Rhinolophus ferrumequinum: one gene and its partners. The protein of the gene in region 4 binds, or shares a complex with, the protein of the main gene of each other region. Links are inferred from orthologs where the notes say so. Each region holds a gene or a part of one and is shown on either strand. Other genes may lie near its edges. The genes, in order: STAC2, CACNB3, STAC3 and CACNA1S.

The links.
Region 1: the proteins of CACNA1S (region 4) and STAC2 are in contact, whole or in part, in a crystal structure (PDB 6B27), measured with the Homo sapiens proteins. The link is inferred for Rhinolophus ferrumequinum from reciprocal best matches to the Homo sapiens genes CACNA1S and STAC2. Residues at the interface, in NP_000060.2 of Homo sapiens: Glu749, Pro750, Glu751, Ile752, Pro753, Ser755, Pro756, Arg757, Pro758; in NP_945344.1 of Homo sapiens: Tyr301, Lys302, Phe303, Gln306, Glu307, Asp310, Asn326, Asp328, Trp329, Phe340, Pro342, Asn344, Phe345.
Region 2: CACNA1S (region 4) and CACNB3 share a complex: the UniProt entries of both Homo sapiens proteins name them as parts of the calcium channel complex. The link is inferred for Rhinolophus ferrumequinum from reciprocal best matches to the Homo sapiens genes CACNA1S and CACNB3.
Region 3: CACNA1S (region 4) and STAC3 share a complex: the UniProt entries of both Homo sapiens proteins name them as parts of the calcium channel complex. The link is inferred for Rhinolophus ferrumequinum from reciprocal best matches to the Homo sapiens genes CACNA1S and STAC3.

What each region holds. Positions count from the first base shown.
Region 1 is NC_046304.1:35,985,893-35,993,785, forward strand, and holds the start of STAC2 (SH3 and cysteine-rich domain-containing protein 2), read right to left. Parts: upstream 3,039-7,893; 5' UTR 2,850-3,038; intron 2,643-2,849; 5' UTR 2,594-2,642; coding exon 2,504-2,593; intron 1-2,503. Other genes in the region: transcription factor CP2-like protein 1, read left to right, coding at 4,910-4,927. UniProt on the Homo sapiens protein: Plays a redundant role in promoting the expression of calcium channel CACNA1S at the cell membrane, and thereby contributes to increased channel activity. Slows down the inactivation rate of the calcium channel CACNA1C.
Region 2 is NC_046293.1:49,939,739-49,947,008, reverse strand, and holds the start of CACNB3 (voltage-dependent L-type calcium channel subunit beta-3), read right to left. Parts: upstream 3,078-7,270; 5' UTR 2,407-3,077; coding exon 2,362-2,406; intron 1-2,361. UniProt on the Homo sapiens protein: Regulatory subunit of the voltage-gated calcium channel that gives rise to L-type calcium currents. Increases CACNA1B peak calcium current and shifts the voltage dependencies of channel activation and inactivation.
Region 3 is NC_046293.1:56,296,105-56,303,617, forward strand, and holds the start of STAC3 (SH3 and cysteine-rich domain-containing protein 3), read right to left. Parts: upstream 3,223-7,513; 5' UTR 3,022-3,222; intron 2,351-3,021; 5' UTR 2,350-2,350; coding exon 2,284-2,349; intron 2,020-2,283; coding exon 1,755-2,019; intron 1,511-1,754; coding exon 1,413-1,510; intron 1,196-1,412; coding exon 1,123-1,195; intron 276-1,122; coding exon 178-275; intron 1-177. Other genes in the region: R3HDM2 (R3H domain-containing protein 2), read right to left, coding at 5,825-6,165, 7,045-7,129, 7,483-7,513. UniProt on the Homo sapiens protein: Required for normal excitation-contraction coupling in skeletal muscle and for normal muscle contraction in response to membrane depolarization. Required for normal Ca(2+) release from the sarcplasmic reticulum, which ultimately leads to muscle contraction.
Region 4 is NC_046310.1:1,102,441-1,110,486, reverse strand, and holds the start of CACNA1S (voltage-dependent L-type calcium channel subunit alpha-1S), read right to left. Parts: upstream 3,065-8,046; 5' UTR 2,981-3,064; coding exon 2,829-2,980; coding exon of another isoform or gene 2,810-2,828; intron 1,332-2,809; coding exon 1,226-1,331; intron 1-1,225. Other genes in the region: ASCL5 (achaete-scute homolog 5), read right to left, coding at 4,633-5,142. UniProt on the Homo sapiens protein: Pore-forming, alpha-1S subunit of the voltage-gated calcium channel that gives rise to L-type calcium currents in skeletal muscle.

The DNA of each region.
Region 1 (7,893 bases), on a different chromosome or scaffold from region 4:
GGCCCCAAACACTGATATATAAGCCTGGAATGCTGGCTTCACTGCCTGATGGGCACCAGCTTCCTCTGTTGTACCTGCTTCAAGTTGAGTTGGATGGGCAGCAAGCAATCCTCTCCCTTCCATCTCTCCCACTCCTACAGTCTGGAGACAGAGGTTTCTTTGAGACAGACTGGGGGTGGGAGGGTAAAAGGAGGCTGGCAAGGTCCCTGAATTATTCTCTCTCTGCCCTCCTGATCCCCAGCCCAGCCCGTGTGGTTTTTACTGAGTTCTTCACAAAGGGGAAGTATAGGGGAAGGGGGCAAAGGTACAGGGCTCCAACTGGTCTGGCACAGACGGTCCAGGTCAGAGGTGCACTGCCCCTCCTCCCCTGCTCCTGGGATCTCTATGGTCAGACCCAGAGCTGATGGCATTGGAGGGTCCTTGGGCTGGAAGGAGGGTGGTACAGACCTGCCAGGTCCAGACCTCCCCCTCCCAACAAAGCTGAGCTTGCAGCCTGCTGATTGCTGAGGCAGCAGGCAGCACTGCCCAGGCTCCCACCTGCTTTCACTCCTGCCTACTTGTGGAGAGCTCTTAAGGAAGAGGCATGGCTGACAGGCCTTGGTGTGGGAAGCATGGCAGGGCCTGGGAGGCCCCCAAGCCCCTGGGAAGCAAGCATGGGGATTATGTACGTGTGTACAGGGTGATTAGAAGGCAATTGAGAAGGTCAGGGGCCTTGGAACTCAGGATAGGGCTCAGCTCCTGGGATCCTCTGCCTGATAGAAGCTGTCACAGATATTCCAAGCAATATCCTTCCACCCCAGCTCCTCATTCCTTTCCCAACAGACACTTAACTCTCCGAGGGGAAGTTAATTCTGTGTTCTGAGAGCCCAGAGTCTCCTTCTTAGAAGGGGGCAGGAGAAGGTCAAGTGTTTATCTGAAGATTTGGACATGGAGACCCACTGAGTCTCTCTGGCTTAGGGATGGGGAGCTTCCTGGGATGCCTCAGCCAGACTCCACCCTGGCCCTATTCATCTCCCCCTGGTCACTCCCTTGATGACTTTGACCTTGAATTAACCTCATATCCTGGGGGGGTGATCAAGACAGAATGAGAAGGAAGATGGGCACTGGAGAGAGCTATAGATGAGCTAGTGATACCAGGGAGAGCCAAAGTATCACTATCCATTTCTGGTCCTAATTGCCCCGTCCTCACATGGATAGCAGAAGCAGAGTGGGAACAAAACACCAGGTGGAACGGAGAGGGAAGTAGGTCTTGGCCTGAAGTCTAGGGAGGGGGAGCCTGGAGCCTGGAGTCTCCCTTCCTGAAGCCTAAACACAGTCGCTTCTTTCCCCATCCCCAGACCCGTTCAGGTTGCTTCTGCAGAACTTCTTGCCGGGCAGTCGGGAACACCTAGAACTGGAGGAGGGAGCGGACAGATTGGGTGGGTGGGTGGGTGGGGCGTTGAATGCAAGCAGCGCTCTTCCCCTCCCCCTTTTCAGTGCCAGGAGTCTGGGCTCTCCGCCTGACTTCAGTGGGGAATAATTTATTCGTTGTGACTCCCGCAGGAGTAACATCCATACATAATTAGGGTTAATTATGACATTCATTAATTACGATTTCTCTTTTTGCTTTTACCCGCCCAACTCCACCCCACCCCCGTCCCGCTTCCGGGGTGGGGAGTGGGGGATGCTTGTCTTTCTGCTCTGGAGCCGCAACAACAGTCCTCCGGTCCCCGCCCGCGATGGCCCGCGCTGCCGCAGCCCTTAGCGTGGACTCGAAAGCTGCGCACCCCCGGGCCGCGGCCTCACGTCCCCGAGCCTAACCCGGTTGGGAGGGGGGAATGCAGGACTGCAGCGGGTCAGAGAGAGACGTCCAGAGAGACTCGGAGATAAACACATAGAGACGCCGACAGAACCCGGGAAATACACAGGGAGATACCAAGACAGAGACAAACAGGTTGTAGAGACATTTGCAGAGAGAGACAGACACAGAAGAGAGAGAGGAGGAGAGAGAGAGAGAGAGAGAGAGAGAGAGAGAGAGAGAGAGAGAGAGAGAGAGAAGAGAGAGAGAGAGAGAGAGAGAGAGAGAGAGAGAGAGAGAGAGAGAGAGAGAGAGAGAAAGAGAGAGAGAGAGAGAGAGAGGCTGAGCTACATCCAGAGACCTGGCGGACACAGGAGGGGAGCGCCTCGCACGCACACCGGCGCGTACACCGGCCCACACCCGCTACACACGGCTACACACTCCTTCCGCCTTTGCTGCGCCGATTCCCTCCAACAAAGCCGAGTTACAACCTCCCTGGAGGGTCGCGGTAGCGAATCGGCTCATCACGCGCGTAAGGGCGTGTTGTGCTTGTGTGATGGGGGATCCTAGTGGCCCCTCGTCGCGAACCCATCGGAGCCTTAAGGATCACACCGGCCCGCTACTGTGACCCCAGGGCACCCGAACCCACAGTGGAAACTGCGTTGGAGGGCGCCCGGGCCGGGGGCGCACCGGACAGGGGTCCAGGCCTCGCGCCTCCCGAGTTACCTTGGTTTCCTGGAGGGCAGAGACGGTCCCCGGGGGTGTGTGGGTGGCCGCGTCATCTGGTTCATTCTCCTTCTCGCTCATTTCGGTCATGGTTGGGGGAAAGGGGATGAGAGGGTACCGAGACCCGACGGCAGGCCCGCTGGGGGTGGGATGCGGGTGGCGGGCGTCTCTCTGGGACCCTGAAGCCCTTCTCCGAAGACTGCCCCCAATGAACCCCAGGAGAAACCCCGCCCAAGCAAAGCAACCCCTCTCTCCCGGGCGCGAGCGGAGAAAGTTCCCGGGTTGGCAGGTGAGGGAAGGAAATTACACGGAGCAGCGGGAGTGGGACGACCCCAGGAGTGAGTACCGAGGGTCTGCAGAGGATGCTGCTCTGAGCCAGGGCAGGAGGGAAGTGGGGATGCGGGGATGAGCCGAGGAAGGGAGCGACGGAGCTGTCCGTGTCCGGCGGGCACCGCCGTCCGCTGCGCCCGCCCCCCATTCCCCTCCCTCCCCCGCGGGTCCCAGCCCCGCACCCGGCAGCCCCCTCCGCCCAGTCCTCGCCTCCCAACTTTGATTTAGGAGGTCGCCTGGTCCCTCCCCCTTCGCTCAGCCGTCGCTATGCAAATCAGCTCCTCAGCTATTGGCTGCCGCCGCGGCCAGGAGGACGAACTGGGCGGAGCCTGGAAGCCTTGACAAGATGGGGAGGGGCTTGGAGGGTGCTGAAGTGGAGGGGGCAGTTTTACACTGAAAAATTCGGAGTGGGGGCATGACAAGGTTGAGGGAAGGCTCAGGAGATCATGTTAGAGTCTGGATGGGACTTGGGGGAATAGAAATAGGTTGGATCTGCAGAATAGCTGAGAATGAGATGGAAGTTAGGACTTGATAACAAAGTGGAGGAAGAATGGGAACCCTCTGTCCCATTACCTGGTTCTCTCTCTGCTCTTGAGATACTCTCTCCAAATATACACACCCCTGGCCTATAAGGTAGGGGTTTCCTCAAGGAGAGAAGGGACAACTTAACAGCATGTGTCAAAGGCCAGGCCTGGCAATTTTTTTGTGGATGTAAAGCAGGTCAACTGTGTCACTTTCCAGTCTTGCTGTCTGGACTGCAGCAGAGAAGGAGCCTCAGCCTAAAGACCCCTAAACTTCTCCAAGACACAGCCCCATCCTATAGATCCTACCATAAATGGGAGTTAGATCAGTGGGTAGGGAAATTGGGGGGGGGAGTGCGTTCTTACCCTCCAAGATGTGCTCTGTCCCCTTGGCCCGAAGGCACCTCTTCTAATGCTTGTTGTTTACCTGCCATTTCCCCAAGTCCCCTTCCCTCACCTCCTGCCCTCTCCGGCCCTGATCAAAAGGTCTAGCTTCATCTCTTGGCCTGTCCAATGAAAGGGAAGTAAGTTGGAAATTGACAGAATCCTTTCTTAAGTGTGGGTGGAGAAATTTTTGGGTCTGTCTCCCTCTTCCTCATCTGCTGTGGGTGATGAGATGGGTGGGTGGGTGGTACTCAAGAGGGTCCTGCTTTTATGCTAGCCCTGGAGGAGGGACTGAACCCTGTGTCCCCCCCTCCTGCCCACGCACACAACCATTCATGCAATCTCTGTCTTCCCAAGGATGAGCTCACCATTGGAGCTCTGCTCAGGTTACTGTGTCCAGGAATAGAGATTTGTTTGCCAGTGGCAGAAGTAGGACAAGGGCAGACGTGAGGGTTTGTGTTTGTGGGGGCTTGGTTCCCTCCCCCTCTACATCTACCCTCTGCAGCTGCAGACTCTCTGAGTGCTAGCTTTCCTGAAAGGAGCTGTAGAAGAACCTGGCCTCAGCCCTCAAACCAGTCTCCCCAAAGGCCCATTCATTACCAGCCTTCTCCCAATCCCCTCTGAGGGCTGCCCTCCTACCGCTTGCCGAGTCCAGGTCACCCCAACATCCCTTCCCTGGGCAACTGAGTTGTAAGGGATGCTTGGAGCACCCTGAGATAGGGTCATCAGGCCCTCCACCTATCCTGGATTGGAGCAAACAGGGATTTCTGCATTTGGAGACCTCCTGGGGGAGGTACCCTGTCTTCCCCCCAAACAACAGAAGCTCTGCGTTCCTTAGAGTCCAGTACCTATATAGTCACTAATTAACTGTGTGATCTTGGGTAGGTAACTAAACCTTTTAGAGCCTTGATTTCTTCATCAACAAAATGGACATAGTGTTACCTCACTGTTAGGAGAATGAATGTGGTAATGCAGTATGCCACTTAGCCCAGGGAAGACAGGCAGGGAAAATTAATGTTCTGCTTTCCCTCCTTTCTTCTAGGAGATTTGTCCCTTTCCAGTGCTTTTCCTGAGGCAGAGATAAGAAACAGGCTTCCTTCCCTCACTTTCTTGGGCTGTTTGGAGCCGGTTATTTCATGGGGGAGTCAACCCAGGAAGATTCTGATGAGACATGGGGAAGAATTCTCAGGTATTGGTGACCAGGAAAGCCAGGGAAGTGGATGGCCCCGGGCCCATCTGGTCTCGGTACCAGAAGCCTGAGTGAACCCATCCTCTGCACACCCTCGGGACTCACTTCTCTAATGTGGAGGAGGCAGGGGGCTGGGTGCCGTGACCTCTGGATGTCCTTTCTGGCTGTTTCCGAGCGGTCTTTCATGAACTAAGTCTGAGTCATTGTCTCAGTGCCAACAACTCCTACTGCAGTGGCTCAGGGACAGGGCAGGAGCAGCCGGGCTGGCTTCTCCTGGAGGGGGAGGAACGTTGTCTCATCTCAGATTCAGAGTGCAGAAATGAGGGATGGGCAGAGAAGGGGGCAAGGCATTGCAGGAGGGTAAGTGGCAGTCACATTCTCAGAAGGGCTCCCTAGACCGGAAGTCAAACTAGAACTACTGGGGTGCCTCTTACTAGGAGAGCTAAGTGAATGAGAGTGGGCGCGGGGCCCTCAGGAACCCGGGGACAGAGGGATGGACCAGATAACTTCCAATCTGCATGCAGCACAATGTCCAGAACATGAAGGGAGCCTGGGCCTCATCCCAGTCTGCGACCTTGGGCAGAGAGCTTCTAGCTCTGGAGGGACTTTGGTTTCCTTCTTTTGAGATTGGCAGAATAGACTAGATTAGGTTGAAATGGGGAGTTGGATTAAAACGTGGCAATAATTATATGTCTCTTAGTATTCTTTTGAGGATTAAATGAGTTAATATATGTAAGGCAATGGACAGAGGAAATACACAATAGATGATGATGATGATGGATTCTTAACCTTGGTCTTGTAGGTGAGCTTCAGGAGGTTTGTGAAATTTTGGAGGATAAGCATTTTCTGGAGGAGAGTCCAGAGTTTTCATTGGCTCCTCAGAGAATCTATGATCCCCCAAATTAAGAACCTCTGGCCTGAATGTCCCCCAGGGCCCCTCCAGTGAGTGGCTGAGATTCTCTGATGTGAGGGATTGCTTCTCCTTCCATAAGGACTAACCCAATTTCTCCTACAAACACCTTCAGCTGAAGCCCTTCCTGCTGTGGCCTCTGCCCCCATGGGTTGCCAAAGAACGTCCAAGCTGAAAACATGAGCGGCTGGCTTTTCCCTCCAGCTTTGCAATTGGCTCTCCTAGGGTGGGGGAGTCCGTCATGGTTAAGGCCAAGTCTGAGTTTTCATCTCCCAGCTGGTGAGAGGAAGAGGGTCCAGGCTCAGTGGGGCTGGGAATGCAGAAAACACCGCGAGGCCTGGCCCTGCCCAGTCTCCGCCATCTCCCCCTGCCAGCCCACCCCAGGGCCCGAGGGGCAGATACCGCTCTAATGAGCTAAGCCCCATGGCAGGCATCTGTAATTACGACTTTATGGAAATATAGAAGGCTCTTACGCAAGTGCCTGACACACTTCCCGGTTGTGGCATCTGGGACAGCCAGGTCCTCAGGGGCTGGAGGAGGGCCCTTCCACCCCCGGCTGCCACCAACCCCTGGAGCTCGGGACACTGGCATAGAGCCGCCCTCCCACTGCCTGTGGCACTGTCCCTAACACTCCCTGGGTGAGCTGTTACTGCTGTCTGTGCCCCAGGCTCCCTGGAGGGGAACAACAGGGGTTCCAGTGCACGCAATCCTACCCCTGTCCCCTGAGGCGCCCGACTGTCCAGGAGACCTGTTCTCATGTGAGGGGGAAAATGAAATTGGGAATGTTGTCCTCTCCTCCATGAAGAAACCCTCTATTGCCCCTTCTGTTTCTTTTCTCTTTGAGGCTGGGGACATAGGGCTAATAGCAGTCTTGTGTGTGTGGGGGGGTCATAGCCCTTGGGGGCCCCTCCCCAAGCCTAGCGCGTTTACCCACTCCTCCACATCCCCTGTCTCTGATTGTGTCCTGAAGCCATTGCTTTCTTTCACCAGTCCATTCCCCCTACCCACCCACAAAGCATGTTTCCACGGTAATAGCAATGTCATCACTTTGGGGTGAGCAAGGGGGTGGAATCCAGTGGACTGGGAGAGCTGTTAGGGTTAGAATTTTGAAGAAATGAGCACTGAGGAGCCCCAAAGTATTAAAGGAGGATCTTTTTCTGGAGAGGAGGCCTGGGCACAGACTGGGGTGGAGGCTGTTGCTCAGAGCTGGTAGAAAAGAGAGAGGATGAAGTCTGGAAGCAAATGGATCTGGAGGTTAGAAGTGAGGGTGACTTGGTAGGTAGACCTCATTCTCCAGCTTCCAGGTTGGAATGTTGCCTGGAGATTCATTTTAAATTCCACACTAAATTTATCAGGCAGAATGGGGCATAGTACAGTGATTTAAGAACAGGGACTGTGACCCAGATGGTCTGGGTTCAAACCCTGGCTCTGTCTCCTCTTAGCTGTGTGACTTTGAGATAGCTACTTGACCTCTCTGAGCCCCAGTGTCCTCATCTGTACAATGGGGGATAATATATTAGAAAAAAAAAGCATCTTCCTCAGAAGGTAGACTGTTTGAAAAGCACTCTGAAGACATGCAGAGCACTGAAGAACTGTGTTTGATAAACAGACCCTCTACTTACAAGTGCTATAGAAATAAACCTGTACTTTTAAGTGCTAAATAAATAAACCTATGATGTACTAGGCACTGGAGATTCATAGAAAAAAAGACACACACATTTATGAGGGCTCGATTATTATCTCATTCGGTTTTCACTCTAGCTTTATGGGGTAAAGGCTCTCATCATCCTCTTTTTATAATTGCAGCATGAGGCTCAGAAAGGTTGCTACTTTTTTTCCAGAATGTCAAGTCGTTGTTTTTCAAAATCTAGGTGTGTGTGGGGGGTGCAGCTCAGCTCCAAGTCAAGTCATTGTTTTCAATCTAGTTGTGGAGGGCGCAGTTCACTGGCCCATGTGGGAATCGAACCGGCAACCTTGTTAAGAGCTCACGGCTCTAACCAACTGAGCCATCCGGCCACTCCAAAAACCATATACTCTTAACCCTAACACTAGTGCA
Region 2 (7,270 bases), on a different chromosome or scaffold from region 4:
GAAGGCAGGTCAGCTTGATATCTGCCCAGGCTCTAGATCGTAAGCTAAAGTCAATGTCTGGGGTAGACGGAAGACACAAAGACAGCACAGGTGGGAAAGTCTCCTTTTACAGAGGAGGAGATTCTGCCTGCTGTTCCTCATCTCTCTTGAGAAGAAAATAAGGCTGGCTTGGCAGTAGGATAAAGGGTGCTGAGCCCCAGAAAGAACCTTTGCATTGTTAGTAGAGTGTGGGATCTCCTTCCAGGGGTCTTAGATGTATGAGGGGTCTTAGATGTAGGAGACAGCTGAACGAAGGGAACAGGGGACAACAGGCCAGGAGGCAGGAGGTAAGGCCGGATGATCATTCACTTTGATAAGTATCCATCAGATGCCTCTTAGATGCCCTGACCTGTGCTGGAAGAGGAGTCTGGCCTTTATCTCGGCTCTCCAGGCTCTCAGCCTAATTTAGTCATCTTAATGTCCCTCCTGGGGTATCTGGGTTACCTGGCCTCTCATTCTAGGATGGGAAGGATAGAATCTCTCCCTAAATGTTTAATGAGTCAGGTTCAGAATGGAACCCCCTGTCTATTATTCCCAAGTCCTCAGAGTTCACCATCTTTCATGCTCTGGTATCACTTGGGGAGGTCAGGGCTGCCCTTCCAGGCCTACTCTGGGGTCTTGCCTTCCCTACCCCACTATGCCAGAGCAGCCAGAGGCTCAGTACTTTGGAGCTGCCAGGAGTTGGCACAGTGCCCTAGTGGTGCCCCCCTTGCTTGGTGAGTGTGTGGGCAGGCTGCAGCTCCACTCTTGCCTGGCACGGGGGAAGGAGAGGAGGGAGATGAGCCAGTGGCTTTATTTAGAGCCTGATCTCCCTCCTACTGCTTCAGAGGGGGCCTCAGGGAGAGCAAGGAGCCAGGCAAGAGAAAGGGAAGTTGGGGAGGGTGATCCAGGGCCCAGAGAGGGGTGAGAAGTGAGCAATGGGTTAGCGGGCTGCCCCCAACGCCACCCACATGTCAGTCTTTCCCTTGAAACAGCTCTTGCCTTACTACCAGTGATGGGAAGAATCTTCTAGGGCCCTCCAGCCAAGCAGGAAGGTTTGTTCTCAAGCTCACCTTGGCACCCTGGGCCATGCCAGCTGTCTCTTCAACTGTCACAAAGAGGTGTCCACCAGAGCCTTGAAAATCATCTGCTCTAGCTGCCATGTAATTAGGCCCAGAGGCCCAATGGGGAATTGGCCCAGCAGGAGCCCAGGAAAGGACTGATAGCTGCCTATTCTGAGCCCTAGAACTCATCTATCCTGGGCTGGGCAGCAAGAGATGGGAGAAGACTCAAACACTCCACTTTCGATCCTGGAGTGCTCTACCCTCCACACCTATCAAGGACCCCTTCCAAGCCATCTAGTGGTCCTCTTCTAAGGAGGCCTTCTTGCAGGATGTTTGAGAGAAGGCACTGAGAAGCTGCTCCCCATCTTTGCTCCATCCTTCCAGTCACTCTCCATGCTCCCTGAGCTCCGGGAATCACTGACTAATGAGCTGATTTGTCTCAGTGGGTCAGGAGATAAAAGCAAAAAGGAGAATTAAATATTTATCGGTTGCCTGGTTCTCTGAGCAAAGAGCTTCCTCTCCATCCCCAGGCCCTCAGCTCCTCTGGCTTCAGCTCCAGGTCCTCCATGCTGAGAGGAGCTCAGGGTGCCTGCTGTTCTGAGGATGCCTCAGCAGGAGGCACGGACAGGATGGGGCTCAGTCAGCTGGCCCACCCATGTGCTGGGTGCCCACTTTGCAGCCTGGGAGAGAAGCTGGGCTAAAGGCAGGGTGAAGAGATGAGGCAAGCTCAGGATGGAAGGGGGAAGGAATAATGGAGGTCTTCAAGTTTTGTGATCTTTCTGTCTGAAGAGGCTGGTACCCGATTCTCTGGTGTTCTCTCAGGCTCCCTAAATTTGTCCTGTATTTGTGTCATGGGAGGTCTGGATTGTCCCTCTCCCCAAGAAATTCAGCTTCTCCTCTGAAAGCGGTTGTGTTCAGACCCGATCAATCCACCTGTGGGAACTTGAGACATGTCGTGTGCCCTTTCTAAAGCCCCTGTTCCCTCAGTCTCTAGCCCTTCCTCCCTCTACCCTCTGTTCTGGGCTTTGGAGCCACTTGCTCGAGCCTTCCCCTCACACTACTCCCTCCCTGCACACACCCCGAGCTCCTTGGTCTAGGATTGGGGTACCGAAGAGCCCGCGGCACGAAAATCATCGCCCCAATTTCCTGGAGCGCCCCCAACCCCCCGCAACGCTCTTCCCCGCCACGTTTTTTCAAAGTCCTGGACTGGGAGAAGGGTCCAAGGGAGAGCAAGTGTCACCCCAACTTCCCCACCCCCACCCTCATCGTGGGCACTCACCGCCTCCGAGTCCTCAAACCCGGGCACGTAGGAGTCGTCATACATGGGGGAGTCCGGGTGGGGGGAAGCGAGCGGCGCCGGGGGCGGGAGCGGCCTGGAGGCAGGGGCGAGGACAGCGGGCCGCGCCCGATAGATGCCACCGAGCCCCGCAGCCCTGCGGGCGGCGGCGCAGAACCAGAGAGCGCGAAGGAGGGAGCGAGCCGCGAAGACCAGCTGCTCGGAGCTCAAATCACCGCTTACCCCCACCCCACCCCCCAAACCCAGCCAGTCCCACCCCGAGCGCGGCTGAGGAATCTGGCGCTGGCTCCTACAACAATAGTGCCCGCCCACCTGACCCCCCTCCCCGGGAGCAGGCGGGGGCGGCGACTGGGGCGCCCGCCACCCGGGGAGCCCGAGACCCGGCTGGGAGAGGGTAGCGGACGGGAGCTGGGTAGAAGGTGGGTCCCCCAGCACCTACGGACCCGAGGGGCGGCGGGGAGGAAGGGGAGGAGAGACAGGGCGGGCGGATCCAGGCTGGGAGAAGGCGGGGCGAGGAGAGATGCGGAGACTGAGACGCTCGGCAACCCAGGAAATACTCCGCCGGGAAACAAAGGGCTGGAGCGGTGGAGGGGAGGGGGAGCGGAGAGGCGGAGGGAAAGGAGACCCGAGCCGAGAAAGAAGCGGGCGCAGGTTATTGGGAGGCAGAAGAGGGAGAAAGGAGAGATAGAGGCAGGAGACAGGCGGGGGAGACAGGAAAATGGGGAGACAGAAGAGGCGGGGCTGGGGCAGGCGCAGACGGGGGAGGGGCCCCAGGTGAGCGGGAGGCGTGTCTGGGCCCTGGCGGTCCCTGAGACTCCAAAAGCGAACCCCGTAATGGCACTGGGGAGGAATGGGTTTGGCGACTCCACGTCAATGCCACGAAAGTAGCTCCTGCCACACCAGGTGCTCGGCCCTCTCATTGCACCCTGCAGCAAGGGGCCGTGTCGCCCAACCCGTGCAAAAGGGCAGGTTTTGGGTCCGGCCGCCCTACACCTGGTGCGCAGGCAGATTTCATCCTAGTCTGGCCAGGATGGGGGGTTCCCTTACTCACTTCCTCGCCGAAGACTGTGCCAGGCATTGCCAAGGCACCCGTGGGAATTGGGACAGGGAGGGGCTGTCTTAGGTGAGCCTAAGGGACCGGGAAAGAAACCAGAAGGTGGAGGTAGGGGGATTGTGGCTGTGACAGAAGGTGGGGTCCTGGACAGACTGGGGTCGGGAGGGGGAAGGACAAATCTGGCCAGAGTCATTAGCTTAAGGCCAGATTTTCTCCTTAGCAAAAGGATGGGGTTGGAGTGGCCGGTATCCCCGTTGTAGCCACAGGTACCACTCTGCACCAGTCAGTCTCCTTTAAAGGAGCATTGAGACTTGAGGTTAGAGACAGAGCAGCAGCAGCCCTTATTTTGAGCCAATTTCCCCAAAGATCCACCTATTGGAGCTCCCTCCTTTTTTTCCATCTCCAGAGCAAAAGTATTCCTTTGAATTTTGACTGCCTATGGGCCCCCCTCGCACCCACCACCTAGAGGGGGATGTGAGATGACAGAAGGTTACCACCTGGAGAACTTCGAAGCTCAATCCTTCTCCATTCCCAGTTTTTCACCCCTAGGAGGGTGAATCAAGAATCTACTCATCCCTTTACATTCCTGGGCTACAGTGGAATTAGAAAACCAAAACTGACAGGGTTTGATGAGACCTATGGGAGAAAGCACTGTTCATGGGAGAGAAAGACCATCCAAACCAACTGGCTTCCTACTTATGTCACTTGTTCTGTTGGCAAGAAAAAGAGAGAAAGGGCCTACTCTTAAGACCGTCTTTAGTCTGCCTTCAGTCTGTCTAACCCTGTGAGTGGTGTAGTTCAGCCCTGCACAGCCTCTTCTTCCTGCTGGATCTGGCAAACAATTTTGTTGGAGCCCCAATGGCTGAGGGGACCAATCACTACTGGGAGAGGCAGTCCGCTTTCCCAGTTCCCTCTCCTGAGTCCAGCATCATTTGGAGGTTGGTCATATATTGGACTCTTCTGTCTTGGAAGTTCCCAGACACGCTGTCTTCTCACTTTTGTTTCCTTTCCCAGTTCCTCAGAATCCCTATATGCTCCTTTTTTATTCTCTGCCTCTTCAATTCCTTCCGTTCTTCCAGAGGGGCGAAAAGAAGGCATGAGGTGTAAGAGAATATGACCCTCAACGTGCCCTCTCCTGGGAGGTAACTCTAATGAAGAAGACAGCTGCTGAGGCATCTGCTTCTCTCCCCATCTTTGAATCCACTCTCCTGGCCTCTCCTTTTGGGAATCCCCACCACCAGGGCATCCCAGGGACTGTAGGTAACAGTGGATCTGCTATGAGCTTCATTCCTTCCTCACACAACTTGTTGTAAAGACAGCATCCCCATACAGGACAATGGTGTCTAAGTCTCCTTTGGTCTCCCTCCTGAAGCATCTGAAGCATGAGTTGCTATGCCAACCACCCCCAGGAGATAGGTTCAAGTTCCTCTTACCTGGGTCCATCCCCTGGGTCTCACACGGCTTCAGAGCCTCTCTCTCTCCCTTATCTCTGAGTTGCTACTCAATACCCCCTTCCACTTCTCACCTCACCCACACCTGTCTACTCCAGTTTTCATGCCAACCTAGTGACTTTCTGTCCTGTAAAAAGACATGTGCCTGTCAGTGTCTTGTGGCCCCTAACCCCTTTTCTTTCCCATGACTGAGCATAAGGGAAGAGAGCTGAGGAAAAAAAAAGGAAAAGAAAAACGGATTCCAGGAGAGGATTCCTCCTTCCCTCCTCTTATTAGGAGAGAGCTGTTAGACTGGCAGCTAGCAGGTACCCAAGGCAAGGAAGCAGGACATAGGAGGAAAGCCTGAATAACCAGGTTTGGGAGTTGGAGTTTTGGGAACCTCTAGAATACTTTCTAGCTTCTCCTATAAGTGTACCAAGAAGCGGAGCAGATTCCAGTCCCTGATCATTGAATGAGGAAACTGAGGCAGGAGCTAGGACCTCTGGGAAGTCCTCCACAGCAGTCTATAAGATCTGGACCAAACCAAATATCCCAATGTTCTAGCTGCAAGGCTGCCCCCAGGGAACCTGGGGAGGGTTGGGTGGGGGGAGTTTGGCAGAGCCCTCCTCTCTCTGTCCTCTTTTCTAGCTCCCCAGTCAGTCCTCTCCTATCCCAGTCCCAGTGCTTCGAGGCTGCCAGCTCTGTCTGCTCCTTTTTTTCTTACCCCCTCATTCACCCTTAGCCTCACCTTTGGTTTCCCTCCCTCTCCATCACTGCAGTCTCCCCCAAATACGGCCCTTTTCCTAGCTTGGAGTGGGGCTTTTCTCCCACCCCTGGGGAGGGGCCCCCCCCCCCCGTTTACCTCATTCAGCAGGAAGGTTGCACTGGAGTCAGAAAAAGACATAGACCGGACTAGCGGCCTCTCCCCCTCCCCGGGGCCAGGGGCTCCGAGGCGGGAGCAGGACCCGGCCGCAGCTCTGCACAAGGGCTGCTGCCTGTACGCCTGGCCTCGCCCCACGCCCGCCTGGCTCCACCGCCTGCTCCCTTCCCTCTCTCCAGGTTCCCTCCCCCTTTCCTCTTCCCTCCCTTCCTCCCTCTCTCCCTTTCTCGCCTTCTCTGTCACTCTCGCCCTCTCCCGTCGCCTTTCAGTCCTGCTCTCTCCATTTCCGTCTCATCTTCTTCCTCTCTACGGTTCCTGTTCTCTGTTTATCGGGTTGCCTCCCACTGTCCTTCCATCCATAAAGCTCTCATCCCTTTTCCGCCTGCCCACCCTCACTTCTTCCTCTATCCCCTCCCCAGAAAAGGGACTCAGGAATTCCCACCGCCGCAGGCAGAAGGGCGTGAGTAGCTCAAGGGCTGCCCGACTCTGGAGCTTCGGTCAGAAGGTTCTGATCCCCTGACCCCAGCTCGGTGCTCCCACGCCCAGCCTCCAGCGCCCGAGAAAGGAAAGCACCCTGGTCCCGGTGGCGGCTCCGACCGACCTCAGCAGAGGAATGGATCGAAAAAGAACGCTCATGTACTGCTAGCTAGCCCCAGCGTCAAGGCGCCCCCTCTGGATTTCGGGGAAGCCACGTCCATCCGCCGTCCCAGGCCCAAACCCGGTGGCTCCTGCGGGATCGAATTGGAGACAGTCTAACCAGGACGCGCCCGGCGCCTGGGGAATCTCTACCGTCACTGCTCTCTCCTAGGTGCTAGCGCCGCGGGACTCAGCCTGTGAAGGCAAAGAGTGAGGCTTGGCGGCTCCTCCCCCACCGGCTGCAGCGCCCCCTGGACTCACTAGCCGGGTGGCGGCACAAGCCCTCCAGGTGGCGGCACCGGCCCGGGGGTCCTTTCTGTCCGCAGGCAGGAGTTCGGCCCTACCAGTAGGAGGCGCTGCCCTGGCCGGAGCAGAGGGTGCGCAGCTCCGAGCCCGACCCCCACCGAAGCCCGGGATAAACCTCTCTCCCTCGCGTCTTTCCAGGAGCTGCGGTCCCATTTCCAGACCCCTAGTATGGAGACTCCAGGCTGCACTCTATTCCCACTCCTGTGGGGCTCTTTTTAGATACTTGGTCCCCCTGGAGCTCTAGATCCCTCCTACCTCCATCCTGGTCTCCAGAGGCGACAAGGCTGAGCCTGGCAGCGTCCCGGTAGGGCCAGGCCGGGCGGCCGGGAGTACACAGTCGTGGGACGGCTCCTCGGGTCGGTACCCCTCCCGCCCCCTTCGGCGGGCACGTCAAACAGGACAAGCCCAAGTTCTGGCGGGGGAAGGGGGGAGCAGGGGTGTATCCCCAGCCAGCTCTCTCCCTGCACCCTCTGAACGGATCAGCCTCTCATTGGTTCCTCCACACCCCCAGCACCCCGATGCTGGACTCTTCTCCATACCAAAGAGGACGGCTAGGGGGCCGGGAGGGTGTCGTAGATCCCCTTG
Region 3 (7,513 bases), on a different chromosome or scaffold from region 4:
TATGGCAGGAGTTCTTAACCTGAGGACCTCTACAATTGCATGCAAAATGTGTCTGTCTGGTTATGTGCGATTTTAGGAAATAAGGATCCCTAGCGTCTGTCAGCTTTCCAGAGAGGAGCCAGGTGCTGCTCCCTGGGGTCTCTGGAAGGCATCTCAGTAGGAAGGGGCGGCGCTCACATTTTTCTTATCTGCCTGGCCCTTCTTCCGCTCCTTGTTTGCCATGATCACCCCAGTGCGCAGCGTTTCAAACACAGGGTCATTGCGATTGGCGGCAGCTAGTGGGAATGGAAGAAGAAAGAAGCTGTTACTGGGGAGGCAGAGCAAGGCTTGGAGGACAGAGACACCGCCTAAGCAAGGGAGAGGTGGGACTGAGCAGATACGTGCGTGTGTGCGTGTGTCTGTGTGTGTCTGTCAGATTAGGGAAGGGTCACTTGGGCAAACACAAGTCATCAATCTACAAAGAGCTCCAAAAACATCACTGGAAATGTAATGTGATCGAGAAAAATATTATCAGCACTCCTTCTAGGCAGGGCATTCTCAGAATCACTATTCTCCTTCTAAGTAGAGAGGTCCTTTAACTGCTGGCTTTTGTTCCACTAAGTGGCATGTGCCAGCTGGGGTGCCACCACCAGTGAGTTCTTTTTTACACCCATGCTCCTCACAGAATTCAGCCTCTCCTCCAAATAAATGTGGAGCCAATTGTCAAATAACGTTTTGTAAGGGTTGCCAAATTAAGAATGTGCCCAGGGTGTCCACAGCTCTTGGTCTGGCCCTGAGTCTGGAATTCTTCTGTAAGGAGGATGAGGATTGTCAGAATCTTTGTTCACTTAAAAATGGTTTTGCATATGAAGAGCACAGATTTTGAAGTTAGGCAGATGAAGGTTTTCGTCTTGGCTCTGTCTCTTGCTAGCTGTGTGGAGATCTAGCTAAATCTTATCTCCCTCAGCTATCAAACGGGAGTATTGACTCTGCATCCAAAATGGCTCAAATATTAGGTTGAGAGAGAACCACAGGAAGTAGAATCTTTCTGTTTCAGAATTTGGCTTCCAAAGCTAGAGATGGTGCTGAAACCATCTCTATCTAGGCTTGCCCATTCCCTCAGGTCCCAGGGGGGGCACTTACAGAGATCTTTGACACAAGCGTACTGCTGGTTGCTGTAGAGTGGGGAGCTATAGGCCCGACGGAAGCCAGGGGGCTGCAGGGTAAGATGGGATGGGAGAAAGCATTAGAGAGAACACAGTAGGGCCCAGAACCCCATCTCTCCCATGAGTGCTCACCCCTTCTCGAAGTTAAGAGATAGGCTGAGAAAGAAAAGGCAGGAAAATGGATGGGGTGACCTGAGGAGGGACTGGCAAGGGGGTAGCTGGCACCTGTCTGCTCCCTCCTACTGTCTGGCTCCCCAGTCTACTCACGATCTTGCCGAAGCATCTCTGCATCTCCACGTAGGACTGACAGTGATCGTGGATGCTAGTTTTGCAGTTCTTACAGCGAAGCCCAAATTTGTTGTTGACTTGGGAGAAGGGGAGAACATTTCGGTGAGGCTCCTGTTTCCTTCTGCCTTTGTACCGTTGTTGCTACTCTAGCTCTCAGGTCCCTCTTCTGTCTGGGAGCCCACACTTGAGGTCTCTAACAGTTATTTTCTTAAAGCCAATTCTTGCCACAGCCTGTCTGCTATACAAACACTCCTCTGCTAAACCCTTTCCCCCTGTCCCGCCTTCGACATCACACGTTCTCCACTTCCCTTCATGACTCACGCACAATCATCCGGGCACAGACATCACAGAACTTGGGCTTCTTGAAGAAATGTTCTTTGAATTTGTGGGGCTTATCATTGACAAGCTTCGGAGGTTCTGGGGGTGGCTCCTCTTCTTCCTCTTCTTCCTCCTCTTCCTCATAGATGTAGTAGATGGGCCCACCCCCAGCTCCCACTGCCTCCCCGTTGGCCTGGGGCTCTGGGGGAAGCTCCATTTCCTTTGTCCCTGTAGACTCCTTCCTGAATAACTGCTTCAGCCGCTGTAGCTGAGGGAGGGAGGGAGGGAATGAAGGAAACCCAATGTTAAAAGAATTGTCATGCTCTCTAGGTAAGGCTGAGGCTAACTAGACATGTTCCTAACCTGGGGTAAGGGGCACACCCCAGGATTAGGGGGTACTGGCGGGTGCAGGTGCTGGCTAGCATCCTAACAATAAATGAGTCGCATATAAGTGCCATCAATTCAAGCACTTTTCAAGGGCTGCGGTGGCTTTGCAGCTCCCCACACCCCATGGTCAGAGGCCCAGACTCACCCCACTTTGCCGAGTCTCTGCTGGGAAGGAGGGCTTGGGCGACTCCAGCACCTCCTTTTCTGTCATCCTGCAAGAGGTTGGACCCCACTATGAAATCTAATCTCTGACTGCCATTCTTCCCTCCCTTATTCCTATCCCTCGTAATAGGGTGGTCCTTGAAGGGGAGGCTTTGGGAGAAATTTGGTTAAACAGAGATCCTTTCATAGGGCTTATGAACAGGAAGATTCCATTGAGGTCCAGAGAAAAGCCCAACAGACAAAAGAACTTCCCAACCAGTTCCTCTAACGATATCCATCCTTCCACCCTGAAGGGCAACCCCAGGGATTTTCCTACAGACCCTGTTTCACAAAATCTGTGGGCAATGAGACATGACACACACCTTCCCGAGATCTTTCTTCGAGAGGTTTGATGTGTGGAGGGAAGCGCTGGGACATTTGTTATCCCAACCTCTTTCTTGAGCCCTGGAGGCCCAGGGCCTAGTTCCCAGCCTGCCTCAGGCCTCAGCTATTTTAAGTTTTCAGAGTAATAGGAGCCTTTCCTTCTCTTACTACTCCGTTCCCTTGACCCAACCCCCACCCCCCCTCCAGTCCTAGCTCTTTGTCCAGGAGTAGAACAGTAATTTCACTCCTAAAACCCAAACTACTCACAGACAAGGAAAGAAATGAAGCTGAACAGACTCAGGATTGGGGAAGCCGGGGTGAATAGTCCTGGAAATGAAAAGGGGAATTGGCAACTTACGTTTGGGGTTCCCTAAGTCAATCCACAATCAGTAGAGGGAGGAAGGAGCCCCTGCGGTGTTGGTGGTGGGGCTGGAGGACTGGTCCTCTTCCTTGGGGGCTAAGCCCCCCCAGTACCCTCTGTACTCACACTGGCTACCCAGGCGGTATTTGTAGACCTAGCCTCTTGCCTTGGTGTCAAAGCTGAAATGACAGGGCTAGAGGAAAGTGGACAGCTGAGCGACACAGCTGACACAGAGAAATTGGACACGGAGAGGTCTGGGCAGGGCTGGACCCTAACCTCTCCCATCCCCCAGAGCTGCCGTTCCTTGGTTTTTCATCTATGGTGTGTAAGTCAGTATGGGCTAAATTCAGGAAGAGACAGTGTTCATGCTGTGTACTCGTGGGTGATTTTTAGATGACTAATGGAAAGACGAATTACAAACAGCTTTCCCAATCCCCTTTCTCCAAGGCCCAAACACCTCCCCAATTCTGCCCTCCCTGGACCTACTTCAGGAACTAGGCTTTGACTTCTCAGCCATTGTCTTCTTGTGGCCATGTGTTTTTATGCCTTCAAGCCTTTAAGAAGGAAAAGGCTGGGAACTGGTGAAGAAAAGAAAATTTGAATTTTCAGAGCTCTCCTATCAGCCAGATTGCTTTCTTCTCTACGGGTAGATGGAGGGGTACATGCTGCTGTCCTTATGGGAGTGAAGAACGTGTAGTACTGCTGTGTTCCTTCCAGTTGTTCCCAAAGACTTCTTTCCCCCTATTCCTCTAAAATCTTGTCCTCAGGGTGAAGGTATTTCTGAGAGCTATTAAACAAAGCCAGGTTGTGACCCCCATCTGAGGGCTCTGGAAGAGGAAGGGTCTAATGATCAGGTAGAGATGCTATTGTTCACACTGGAAAGACGGTAACAAACAGCTGCCACGCAGGGCATTTTTACCGTCTGTAAGGAATATCCCTTCCTCATGAGAACTGCAAACTCTGGGAGGTGGTAGGATGGCCAAGCCTCACCCTTCCTGAATCATTCTGATCCCGATTCCTCTTCCCTCCTCTGAGGCCCCGGTGTATGAACTGATGGCTCAGTGAGCTATCTGGCATTCTTATCTCCCAGGGATGCAGCCTTCTGCTCTGTGCTGACACCGCTGAAAGGGAGATACTCCCATGGTAGGGGAGCAATTTGGAGGTGGCGACATAGTGTTGCTTTATCCCTTGTATCTTTAAAAAGTAAAGGATTACTTTGGAGGTTGGGTCAGACAAGCCCCAGAGGAGCGAGCCTCACCAGAGCTACTCCTACCCAGAGCCAAGAGATTTCCGGGGCGATGTTCTTTGTCATTTCTGCTCTTTTTTCTCTTTAAGGGGTGGCTCAGATTGAAAGGGGGCTGCTGGATGATTCTGTGCCTACAGGCTCTTTAACAACTGGTCTGACAGGCTAAACAACTAGGATAGTTTTGAGAAGCCTCAGAGGAAAAGCTCCATCTTGTAGGCAGGTGACTTCTGCTCTTCACCTTTCTTCAGCTGCATAGGACATCTGGGTAATATGGCATCTGGGCATTGCAAATTTAACGGACGGAGCTTTGTATTGTAAGAAACATCCACTTCTGTTCCTGCCAGGTAGAACCCAATCCCCTGGCTTTAAGATTAAAGGCCCAAGTCTTCTATCCCTGAACATTAGACGGACAGGTATGAGGCGCATCTGAATCCAGGTCTGGACCTCAACTCCCCGTCCCCAGCTCAGGCTCAAGGACCCTAAATGAGTGTTACAGAATTAACTGAGAGGACGGAAACTCAGGGGTCACCTAGTCAGTCCACATCTCTTATTTTATTGATACAGACTCAGAAGTGTCGAGTTGAGAAGTGTGTGCTTGATGAATCAGAGTTAGTTGCAGAATTGGGAGCACCCAGGACCCAGGTCCCATTAGAGACCCAGGTACCTCAGAACTATGTGTAAGGAGGAGGCTGGGACACAGGGAATAGTGTTAGGATGAGATAGGTGCATATGCTAGGAAAGCCATCCAAACCCACATCAAATCCCTCCAATAACCGTGGGGTTGTACCTACCCAGGACCTCCAACCCCTACCCACCCCAGGGCGGCAACACAGAAACAGGGACTGACGTCCAGTGACAGATTTTTTTTTTTATATTTAAAAACAAAATCAACCTCCCCCCAAATGATGCCCCCTAAACAAACAAAAACTCAGATTAAATAAAATTTACAGTGAATATACCCAGCAAACATCTGTTATGTGCAATTAAATACTGTATCTGTTACTTCGGCACGAACCTCAAACAAACAATATACAAGTGTTCTGGGGAGTAGGGGTGGAGGAAGGCCCAAGTTTTAACTCTGGGGTTTGGGGAGACAAGATGGGGGAAGTGAGAGAAAAGGGAAATCAATTTCATTTTTCTTAATTCTGTCCATATAAATATATTCATAAAGACCAAAAAAGAAAAGGGAGCTTGGGATGATCAGGAAACAGGAGAACAGGGGAGTGTAGGACTCTCCCAATTCTACCTAACCAAAAAATATCAAAGAAATTAATTTCATGGTGGGAGAAGAGATCAAAAATGATAGAAGAGGATGGGAAGGAGGGGGAAGCAGAGGAAGGCCAACCAGGGAAAAAGAGGGGACCCATGGCAGGGGAGTAAGAAGGAGTCCAGTGCCAGTGTGAGTGTCTGCTTCCATCTTCATCCCTACTGTTTTAGGCTCCAGTTTAGTGTCTGTCACCTTCCTTTCGGTCTCTGTCCATGGTCTATCAGGATCCCTCAACACCCTCCACCCTGCCCTCTCCCCTGCTGTGCTGGTCCCTTCCCCTCCTCCCTTTATTGGGAGCTGGCTCGCTCCAGGATCCTCAGGTCATAGTTCTTTTTGGCCACTCGAAGTTTGAAGCGACTCACAGAGTTGTTGAGGCGAAGGGAGGCATTTTGGGCCGCCAGGGGGCTGGGGAACACAGCCACGATGGTGTACAAGGCAGCGAGGTCCGCGTGGCGGCCGTTCTCGGCAGTCCCACTATTGTCCCCCCCACCTCCGCCAGGCAGCCCCTGGGCATCCTTGAGCCATTGGATCTTGGCGCCGGACATGGCGAGCTGAGTGAAGAGTTTGTCCGCCTCGGTACGAGTGATGCCCTCAGGGAGATCTGTCACCTCCAGCACCCGCCCCAGGACTGGAAGGGAAGGAGAGAGGACAAGGTTGTGAGAGGATTAGAGTAGGAAGGACTGCACAAATATCCAGCTGGCCATGTCTGTATACAACATTCTCAAAAGCCTGGCCTTTCTCACTTCGCCCTTCCCTCCTTCCCCAGTCAACCCAACTCCTCACTATCCAGACTCTCAGCAGGGCAACTAGGAGAAACAAAGGAACCTTTCTCCTCTAGCCTAGAGATGCAGGCAAGGAGAGACTGGGAACCAGAATCCCAGATTGAAGATCTGGAGACCCGCACCTCAGTTCTCTCACAGGGAGCTGTTACTGTGAAGGAGTGTGGCTTTTGCTGATGTTCTTTGACAAAGTCAGTAGCGTAATCTGAAATATGTTCCATAGCTCCCTTCCCAGTGGCTGGCCCCAGTAGATTCCTTTTTTATTATCTATGGAAGTCAGTTTCCCCTCCTTTCCTTGTTTAGCAAACTGTTCCAAATAGGGGAAATCCTGACAGATCTCGTATGCCTAGTACGGAAGGCCTGCAGGAGGCGTTACTCCTCCACATTCCTTTGTCAAGCTTCTCCTAAATTAGGTCAAGGACTACCAAAGGTAGACAACCTTGACTAAAGTCAGGGCCACTGCCACAAGACTCTGTTGATAATAGGCTCAGCAACCCCCATCATTGTGTTATTCCCAATTTTTACCATCATCTTCCCCAGCACCTGGAATAGCTTGGTAAGGAGGAGAGAGATACTTCACTTCTGCAACTTCTCCTTGCTCCTGAGTACAGAAGGGTACCATTTCTACTCCCCACCCTAAGCTGGCTTTTCCCTGCCATCCTGGGCTAGTAATGTAGGGCTGGAGGGGTGAGCAATTTCTCTTGGAGATTCGGCATCCTGTCACTCACCAACATCTGTCGTCCCTAGGTCAGTGGAGGCAGATTTGAGTGCTTGTCTCTTGCTCCGGTTTCCATGTTTCAACCCAGTCTGTCCCTTCAACATCAGAAAGATAATTCTCATCCTGGGTAAATAACATGGACTGCCTCGCATTCCAGTGTCTGCCTGAGAAGTTAAGGAAGGAGCAGCACCCAACCCTGAGGACCCCCCTCACCAGGTAGTCAGATTGGTCAAATAGCCACTGAGAAACAAAGAGCCCCTCCCTCTTGGCCACGGGGTGGGGAGAAAGGAATGAATGGTACTGGAGTGCGGTAAGGCCCTTCCACTTTGTCCATTCTCTGTCTGCTGTCTCCTTTGTCCACCCAGCTGGCTGAGGTAGATGGCTCAGAGATAGGGGCCCGAGTGCGAAGGGGGTGTCTGACGGCCCTAAGGCTGATGGACACCCTTACCTGGTGCACCGTGTAAGTCGACTGGCCATGG
Region 4 (8,046 bases):
CCCTGGAAATGGGCACAAGGAGAGGCAGAGATAACACATTTCTCTCTGGCCCTGGACGCTGCCCACCCCTGCAGGGTAAGTGCAGAAAAAAAGCCACCGAGATGTGGGTCCATTGTCCAGTCCCCTCGCCAGCCTGGACCACACGCCTAAGGCCACTATGTCAAGGGGCTTCCCCAGAAATCCTCATGCTGTCACGACGTTGGCAGCACCGCCTTACAGGGTGGGGCTGAGTCACAGAGGCCTGAGTCTGAGACCCTCTGAGAAGACACCTGGGGGGTGACCCTGGGCCAGGTATCCCAACTCTCTGAGCCTCAGTTTCCCATCTTATAATGTTTCCTACCTCACAGGGGCAGCTATGGGGACAAAAGTAGACAATAATGTAAAATATTTAGCACAGAATCTGGCATCTAATAAGCACTTAATAAATGGGAAGCATTTTTATTGCTATCTAGCTGTTGGGTAAGTACTAAGTAAGTACTAAGTGAGCCTCAGTTTTGTCTCCTATAGAACAATGAGGTTGGGAGGGGGTGGGACACCCCAAGTCTGGACAGTCTCTTCCAGCTCCGGCTGTTATGGTTTTTGTGTGTGGTGTGGGTGGACAGGGAGGAGACAGGGGCACAGAACCCTACAAGTGTCCTGTACTGGGAATCCTGGATGGAACCCTTCTAGGAAGTCAATCAGGGCTCCTCTGGATTTGATCCAGGAGGAGAAATAGGCATTCGGCACTCATCACACACTGGCTGACTTCCTCAGCCTCAGTTTCCACACCTGTCAGGCGGCACCTCAGCCTCAGTTTCCACACCTGTCAGGCGGCACCTCAGCCTCAGTTTCCACACCTGTCAGGCGGCACCTCAGCCTCAGTTTCCACACATGTCAGGCAGCACCTCAGCCTCAGTTTCCATACGTCAGGCAGCACCTCAGCCTCAGTTTCCACACCTGTCAGGTGGGACCTCAGCCTCAGTTTCCACACCTGTCAGGTGAGACTGCTCCATGGGGCTGGGAGAGGATCCAGGAGTTTAGTCTGGGCAGGGGCTTAGCCCAGCGAGCACTCCTGCGGGCCTGGCTGGCAGTGTCACAGAATCTAGAAGGGGCAGCCCTGAGGGTGGTTTTGGCAGGTCTGTATCCTCAGACAAAGCTCCAGCATCGTCCTCCAGCACACAGCCCACCAAGGGGGCCTCCCCAGATGGCCGCAGGCCCGCGGGACGGGGAAGGGAGGCCGTCTTACCAGGCCGACGTTCAGAGCATTGTTGTCGTCCTCTGGCATGGGCAGGTACACGGCCAGGGCCACGCAGTTGGCAAAGATGGTCAGTAAGATGATTGTCTCGAAGGGTCTGGGGCCAGGGTTAAGGAGAGCCCTCGAGTGCGGCGTGCGGTGTGCAGGGTGAAGGGGAAGAGGGCCTGAGGGTCAGTCTGGACAGTGCCGATAACACCCAGCTGAGGGGCCCTCCTCCTGCAGGCGTGGAAGGGCCAGGCTCCGCTCAGGAGCAGTGGCTTCCACTCAGATGCTTGGAGACCCTGCCGCTCCGGCTCCCAGCTGAGGCTCCTCATGTAAGGGCCAAGGAGTCTACGGCTCCACTCCAAGGTCCTGTCTCCCTCCCAAGAAGCTGTGACTTTCTGAGATTCTAGCCAGACCACCTGGGGGGCTCGTTCGGAGAAGTGGGCTGATAGGATATAGGCTAGGTGCCCACAGAGCAGGACTGGGGAAGGGACAGTGTGGGGTGAAACCTGACCCTCAGAGCCCGAGGGAGGACTGCAGGACCCCCGATTGTCAGCACCCCCACCCCCAAGACACAGCCGGCCTCCACGGCCACCTTCCAGAGGCATCCAGGCCCATTCCTTTCCTGCTCTGCTGGTGAGCAGCATGGCTGACCAGAGGCCGGCCCACCAGAAAGCCTGGGAAGCAGCTGAGGGAAAGGAAGGCAAGGCGGGTGGAGGGGGAGGGAGGCATGCTGTGGAGACGGGCTTGGGTGAGAACCCCGTTCCCCAGGCAGCCACAGGGGCAGAGGCCTGGAGGAGAGTCCCCTGAAAACCCGACCTCACGGGAGGCAGTGGGCGAGGGCAGCTGTGGGCTCAGGGCTGACTCCGACCCTAAGGATTCCAACCTGGTCCCACGTTTTTCTTGTCTTTGCAGTTACCCCTTCTTGGGAACAGCTGGCGGGAGTCGGGTCTCCCAGGGCCCTTCAGAAATATTTCAAATATTCCTGACCATCTCTTTCAGAACCCACTTGACGTGGGCCTTCCCTCCCGCCTGTATCTCCTTTCTCCTTCCTCCTCCCAAATAACGCAGAGATTTTCATCGTCCTCCTCCCAGAGCTGATGCAGACGCAGGAAGGGGTGTCGAGTGGGGTCTGAGTTAGGATCACCCGCCTGCCCTGCCTGCGCCCTGGGCCTCTCACAGCAGCGCTTCATCCAGGCCTGTTTCCTCCCCGCCCCCAGCTGGGCTCATCCCGCTCCACTGCCCCGCCCTCCCCTCCAGGGGGAGGGTTTTCTTGCAGAGCCCACCCACCGCTTTGTTCTCCCCCATCCGATATCAAAATGAGCCTGTCGCTTCACAAGCCTGAGGGGAGCCTCCCGACGATGCTGTGGGCCCAGGTACACCTGCCAGCGGCTCCCAGACACAGCCCGGCCTCGCCCCCGTGGTCAGCAGGCATCTCTGGTGGACCCCGGACCCAGCCGCACACTCAGGCCAGGGAGCCCCCCAGCTCCTCCTCGGCCCCCCCCACGGCTGGGGCCTTCCTGCCCCCACGCTCCTCTGAGGCAGTCACCCCATCTCCAAGAGCCTCTCCGTGGCCTCCCTCGCCCACGTTACCCGCGGGCCCAGAGGATACTTCCATTCCACGATGCTGATGCAGGCTTTCCTCAGCGGGTTCTGGAGCGTCAGGCACAGCAAGGCCCGGGGTGGCCGCGGCAGAATCTCGGGGACAGGCTTCTTGGGCTGTTTCTTCCTCAGACTGTCGTCCTGTGGGGAGGGCGGCTCCATGTTCCCCGGCAGCCCGGCTCCTGCTCCCCACCCACTGCCCTCGCCTGTGTCCTCTGTGCCCTCGCCGTGGGGACTGGGCTGCTGAGTCTGCAGGGCCAAAGCTGGGCCAGGGGGTGGGGCCGTGGATTACTCTCCCTGCTCCCAGGGAGTAAAATTAGCCTCCCACTCACTGGGCTGCCTGTGCCCCTGAGGCCAGGCAGCTGTCATTTTTTCCCAGCCTAGCCAGTGACATCCCAATATGTCCCAGGAGGGTGGGGGTGGTGGTAGCCGGAGGAACTGCAAGCAGGCCTGGAACGGGCAGTAGGAGACAGGATGGAAGATTTCAAGGCTGGGGAGAGCGGCTCAGGAGGGCAGACCTCCGAGATGGTGCCTAAGACACGGCTACTTTCCCCTCCCCCAGCCCCATGACACTGTCCAGAAAAGGTGCTGGGTGGCCCGATCCGTAGCCACCTCCCACCGCAGTACCTGCAGCTCTCAGGCCAGAACCCCTCCCCACCCTCACCCCACCCCACAGTGAACCCCTGTACACGGGGGTGGAGACCCCCAGAAGAACCTGGAATGCGCCCCCCTTGGGGACACTGTACCTGCCACTCTGAGCAGTGACTGCTTTGTACTCCCTGCCCCCTAACTCTAAGGGTCCAGTGCTTTCTCCCTGGGACTCTGGCCCCTCCCACACTGTCCCTGGATGTCATATGCTGAGCTCTGTAAATGGTAGTTGAGTGTAAGAGCTAACAGGACACTTACCCACCTCACGATAAGTGCGGGCCAACATTATCCAGGAATCACACAACTCAACAAATCTTTTATTTGGGCCCTTGGCACAGACGGCGCCACTGTGCCCATACGGTCCTGCCGGCCACAGAGGCGCACAGGATGAGGTGGGAAAACGCAGTCCTCACCCAAACTGGGGAAAAAACGAGGAAAAGGCCACAGGGGGAGTGGGGAAGCGGGGTGATCGCCCTCCATCACGGACCCAGGGGGTGCCACCGGAGGGCGCCACCAGTGCGCACACAACGCCTCTTTCCAAGTCTGTCGGTCCCGTCCCGGCAATTGCATGCAGAAGCCCGCCTCCTCGTCCCGCTCTGGGCTCCTCTCCCGGGGGCAGGCGGAGGGGTGGGGGGCAAGCAAACTCCCGAAGAGGCCGTTGGTATGTGAGGCCACCGCGTGGAGGTTCGGGCGGTGCGCATCCCGAACCAAAGCGCGGCTGGTCTTCTGGAGACTCGCAGACCCAGGGCTGCCCCTGTGGCCACGGAGGACCGCGCAGGGCACCGCCGCCCGCTGTGCACAACCAGAGGCTGGGCCTCAGCTTTCCCCGGCGCGGAGCCGAAGCTGATTCGGAGCCAGACCCCCCCGATGACAGTCCTGGCCAGCCGGCCTTCCGGCGACCTGCAGGGCGCGGCACGCGCTGGAGCTTCCCCAGGGCCTGCGCCCCGCTGCACCCGCCGCTGCACCCGCCGGATGCCTAGGTCTGCACCGGCCACTGGCAACCCTTGCCCTGCGCCTCCGCCCAGATGGCAGGGAGGCGGCCGGCCGTGGGGCGGGGAGGACGGTTCGCAGACGTGGAGCGCAGCGCGCCCCTGAGTGTCCGGGCCTGCGCCGCCCCCCAGGGACCCGAGGCGCTGTCGGCAGTGAGGCGTCCCTGCGCAGCCGCATCACTGGCTGGATTCCTCCGACTCCAAGCCGGGCGAGGAGGAGAAGCGGGGCTCCTCCGGCGGCTGGGCGTCGCTGGGGCGTTCAGACCGGGGACCGTCGGGGGCGGCGCGCAGCAGCTCCTGCAGGTGCCGGATGTAGCGGATCGCGGCGCGCAGCGTCTCCACCTTGCTCAGCCGCCTCTCGGCCAGCGCGCCCGGCAGGTGGCCTCGGAGGCGTGCATAGCCCTCGTTGACACAGCGCACGCGCTGCCGCTCGCGCTCGTTGCGCTTCTGGATGAAAGCTGGCTCGAAGGGGCCGTCGTAGCCCCCGAGGGCGCCCGGCCCGGGCGCACAGGGGAACAGGCCGGCGTAGGCGGCGGCTGGGCCGGGGAACAGCAAAAAGGGCATGGCGCCCGAGGGCTCCGCTGGCAGGGGCGCTGGCCCGGAAGGGGGCGCGGCGCCCAACTGCACAGCACAGGGGTGCACCGCGGGTCCCCGGTCCACCAGCCCCCGGCAGAAGTGACCGTTCATGGTGCCACGGGGGGCTGCTCCCAGAGGCAGGCCCTCCCTGAATCGCCCCTGCTCGGGGTCTGCACGTCCCCACCACGGGGACGAGTCACATCGCCAGCAGCAGCTCTGGGGTTCCAGGACTGGTTAGCGCTTCTCTTCACTCTTTGGGCTGGCTTCTGCCGTTCCCCTAACGCGTGCCATCGCTCCGGACTCGGGTGGCTCCAGGCAGAGGCTCAGCGCAAGCAGGACTCCGGGCCAGTGACCTCATCCGTCGGCCATGCTCCCGCGACACACCTGGCAGCGCCTCGCCTGCAGCCCCGCGAGGGCGCCTCCCGCGGGTGCTAACGGTGAGGCTCCGAGCTGGGGCCACAGTGCCTGGGCCTTGTTCCTCACGGCCTTGGGGACCCCAGGCCGCCTGGGGGGTCAGGAACTGCCGTTCCAGCTCTGCAGAGGGTCCCCGGGAACGTTTCTAAAGAAGAGGAGAGAGGACATATGCGTTAGGAAAGGCCTGGTATGGTGGCCCCTGTGTCACTCCAGCCCCACACCAGACTGTAGGTGTGGTGAGGGGAGGCGGGTGCCTGCTGCAGACAAGACGCCAGAGCAGGGTTCCAATCCCGCGTTCCCCCTTCCTGGTTGGACTGCCTCTGAGTCATGGTTTCCACACAGGGAGAGAATTAAAACACCCCTCACAGGACAATAATATATGAGAACCAAATGAGAAAAAATACACCCCAAACAGCTCCTGGGCCTGGCTTAGGAACAGCGCGGATAATGTCCTTTTCCTTGAGTGGGAATGAGTCTTATCACTGATACCTTCCTGGACCTGCCATCCAAGGAGCTCAGAGACCAATTATTGGGTCAGCAGAAGAAATGCAGTGGTGACCACAGCCCTCCAAGGGGTCTCACGCTTCACTGGAGGACACGCATCTTTGATTCCAAGAACCTGGGGTGTTGGGACGTTCACGGCCTTCTCTCTGCCTTGTGGAGAGGCAGGACGGGAGCACATGGGTCCAGGACGCACCTCTCACAGCACCCTGGCTTCTCCTCGGGGACACTGCCCCGGAGCGTGTGTGCTTGTGCGGCTGGGCCCAGAGCCTGGCCTGCCCCGGGCGCGTGAAGACGCTCACAGGTACTGACTGGATAACCGAGAGGATTGGGCAGCAAGGGCAGCCTGCCTTACACACAGCCCTGCCCAGGCTCTAGGAAGCGGCTGTTTCAGAAGTCACTGCCTGCGTGGAATGTAAATGCCACCAACCCTCATCAGTATGGGGTTACTGCGTCCACGTAGGTGTCATTTCCTCTAGGAATTCTCTCTGACCCTGCTTCCCTCTCCTGTGCGTGTCCACGATGCCCTGCAGAGGCCATCTGAGCACTTGTCACACTGCTGTTACTGTCCCCTCATGATGGAAAACCTGCGATTCACTGACTGGGGGGTGAGCAAGTGGGCGCTGCACGCCCGGTGGACAGTGACGGACAGCTGGAGACCCGGGCCACTGGGCCAGGCCTCTCCACGGGACAGAAGGGGCCAGCTCTCTCCCAACGGGGAGGCTGGTCACAGGCTCATTCCCAACCGTCTCCTTCTGCACATCCTGGGCTTTGTCCTTTTCCTGTCCCCGAGTCTGTTCCCATCTAGCTCTCTGCCCTCCACGCGGAACGAAAACCAGGAAAAATCCACAGTGATTCTGACACCATGGAGACTCACTCTGCTTTCAAGAGTGGAAATAAGTGTGTGAAACATCGGGACAGACTCCCCTGCTCAACAGCCTTCGAGGGCTCCCCACTACTGTCCAAGGAAGGTTCTCGAAAATCTCTTCAAACAGACCCTCAGTTCCATCAGACCCAGGACACACAAAGTGTCCTGACCTTACCCCTGGGCTTCCACTGCCCTGACTGGCCGGCGGCCCTCTCCACACCTCTGCTCCCCCAGTCCTGCCCTCGCCGGGTGCCAGAGCCCGAGCTTTGCAGCTCCCAGCGTGGGCTTTCAAGATTGTGCGTCTCAAGCCTTCGGCCAGATTGGGGGCCACCAGAGGGCGCAGCATCGACTCAGGAGTGAGGGCCCTCAGTGCCTCCCCCAGTGTTGGGCACCTCACGGGTGCTCACAGTTATTCACTAGCAGTGCTTGCATTTTTTTTTTTTAAATATGGGATCCAGACTGTACTCCCCACATAATCCCTATTTATAGTTGACTTAATTATTTAAATTTAATTTGATGGAGGTCTGAAGCTTTTATCTAATGACAATTTTAATAAATACAACTTAATATTATTTGTGTGGATTCCATTTTCAAAACTTATTTATTTCCCACACCTACTCATCAGAGCTGCCAACTATCATTTATGACGCGCAAAGCACGGGGCCCTGACACCCCGGTTTGACTGCTACACCTTTCCTGTGAGGATGTACTAAGGTCAGCCGGCTTTCCCGGTGGGGACAGAGGCTCCTGAAGGTGAAGTTACTGCCCGAGGCCCACAGGCAGGAATCAGTAAATGGAACCAAGCTCACGGTCTTTCCCCTTCGTCCCCCAGTATCTTCTTTGTGGCCTCACATGTGAACCAAAAGCTCAGTGGGGCTTGCACTGACCTAACAAACGTGTCCTGTTCAATGAGGGGGTGTCCCCCGCAGGTTCAAGGCGTCTGCTGTTGCTGAGCTGCTGCTCTGGGGGGACAGGTCCCAGGTCACCTTGGCGCCGTGGGAAGAGAACGCCCCCTGGAGGATGTTCTTAGAAGGGCGGCCGTGGGGTTCTGTGGTGGGAAAGCAAGAATAGGGTGTCATCAGACTGAGTCCAGCACCAGGAGCTGCACCCCCGCCAACTTGATGAGGCGCTCCCTTGCCTGAGCTCAGGAAACGTGAGTAGTGGGACCCTCCCACTCAGAAACCAGGCAAAATCTGGTCCCTCCTCAGGTCGCCTGACTGGGCAGAACCGCT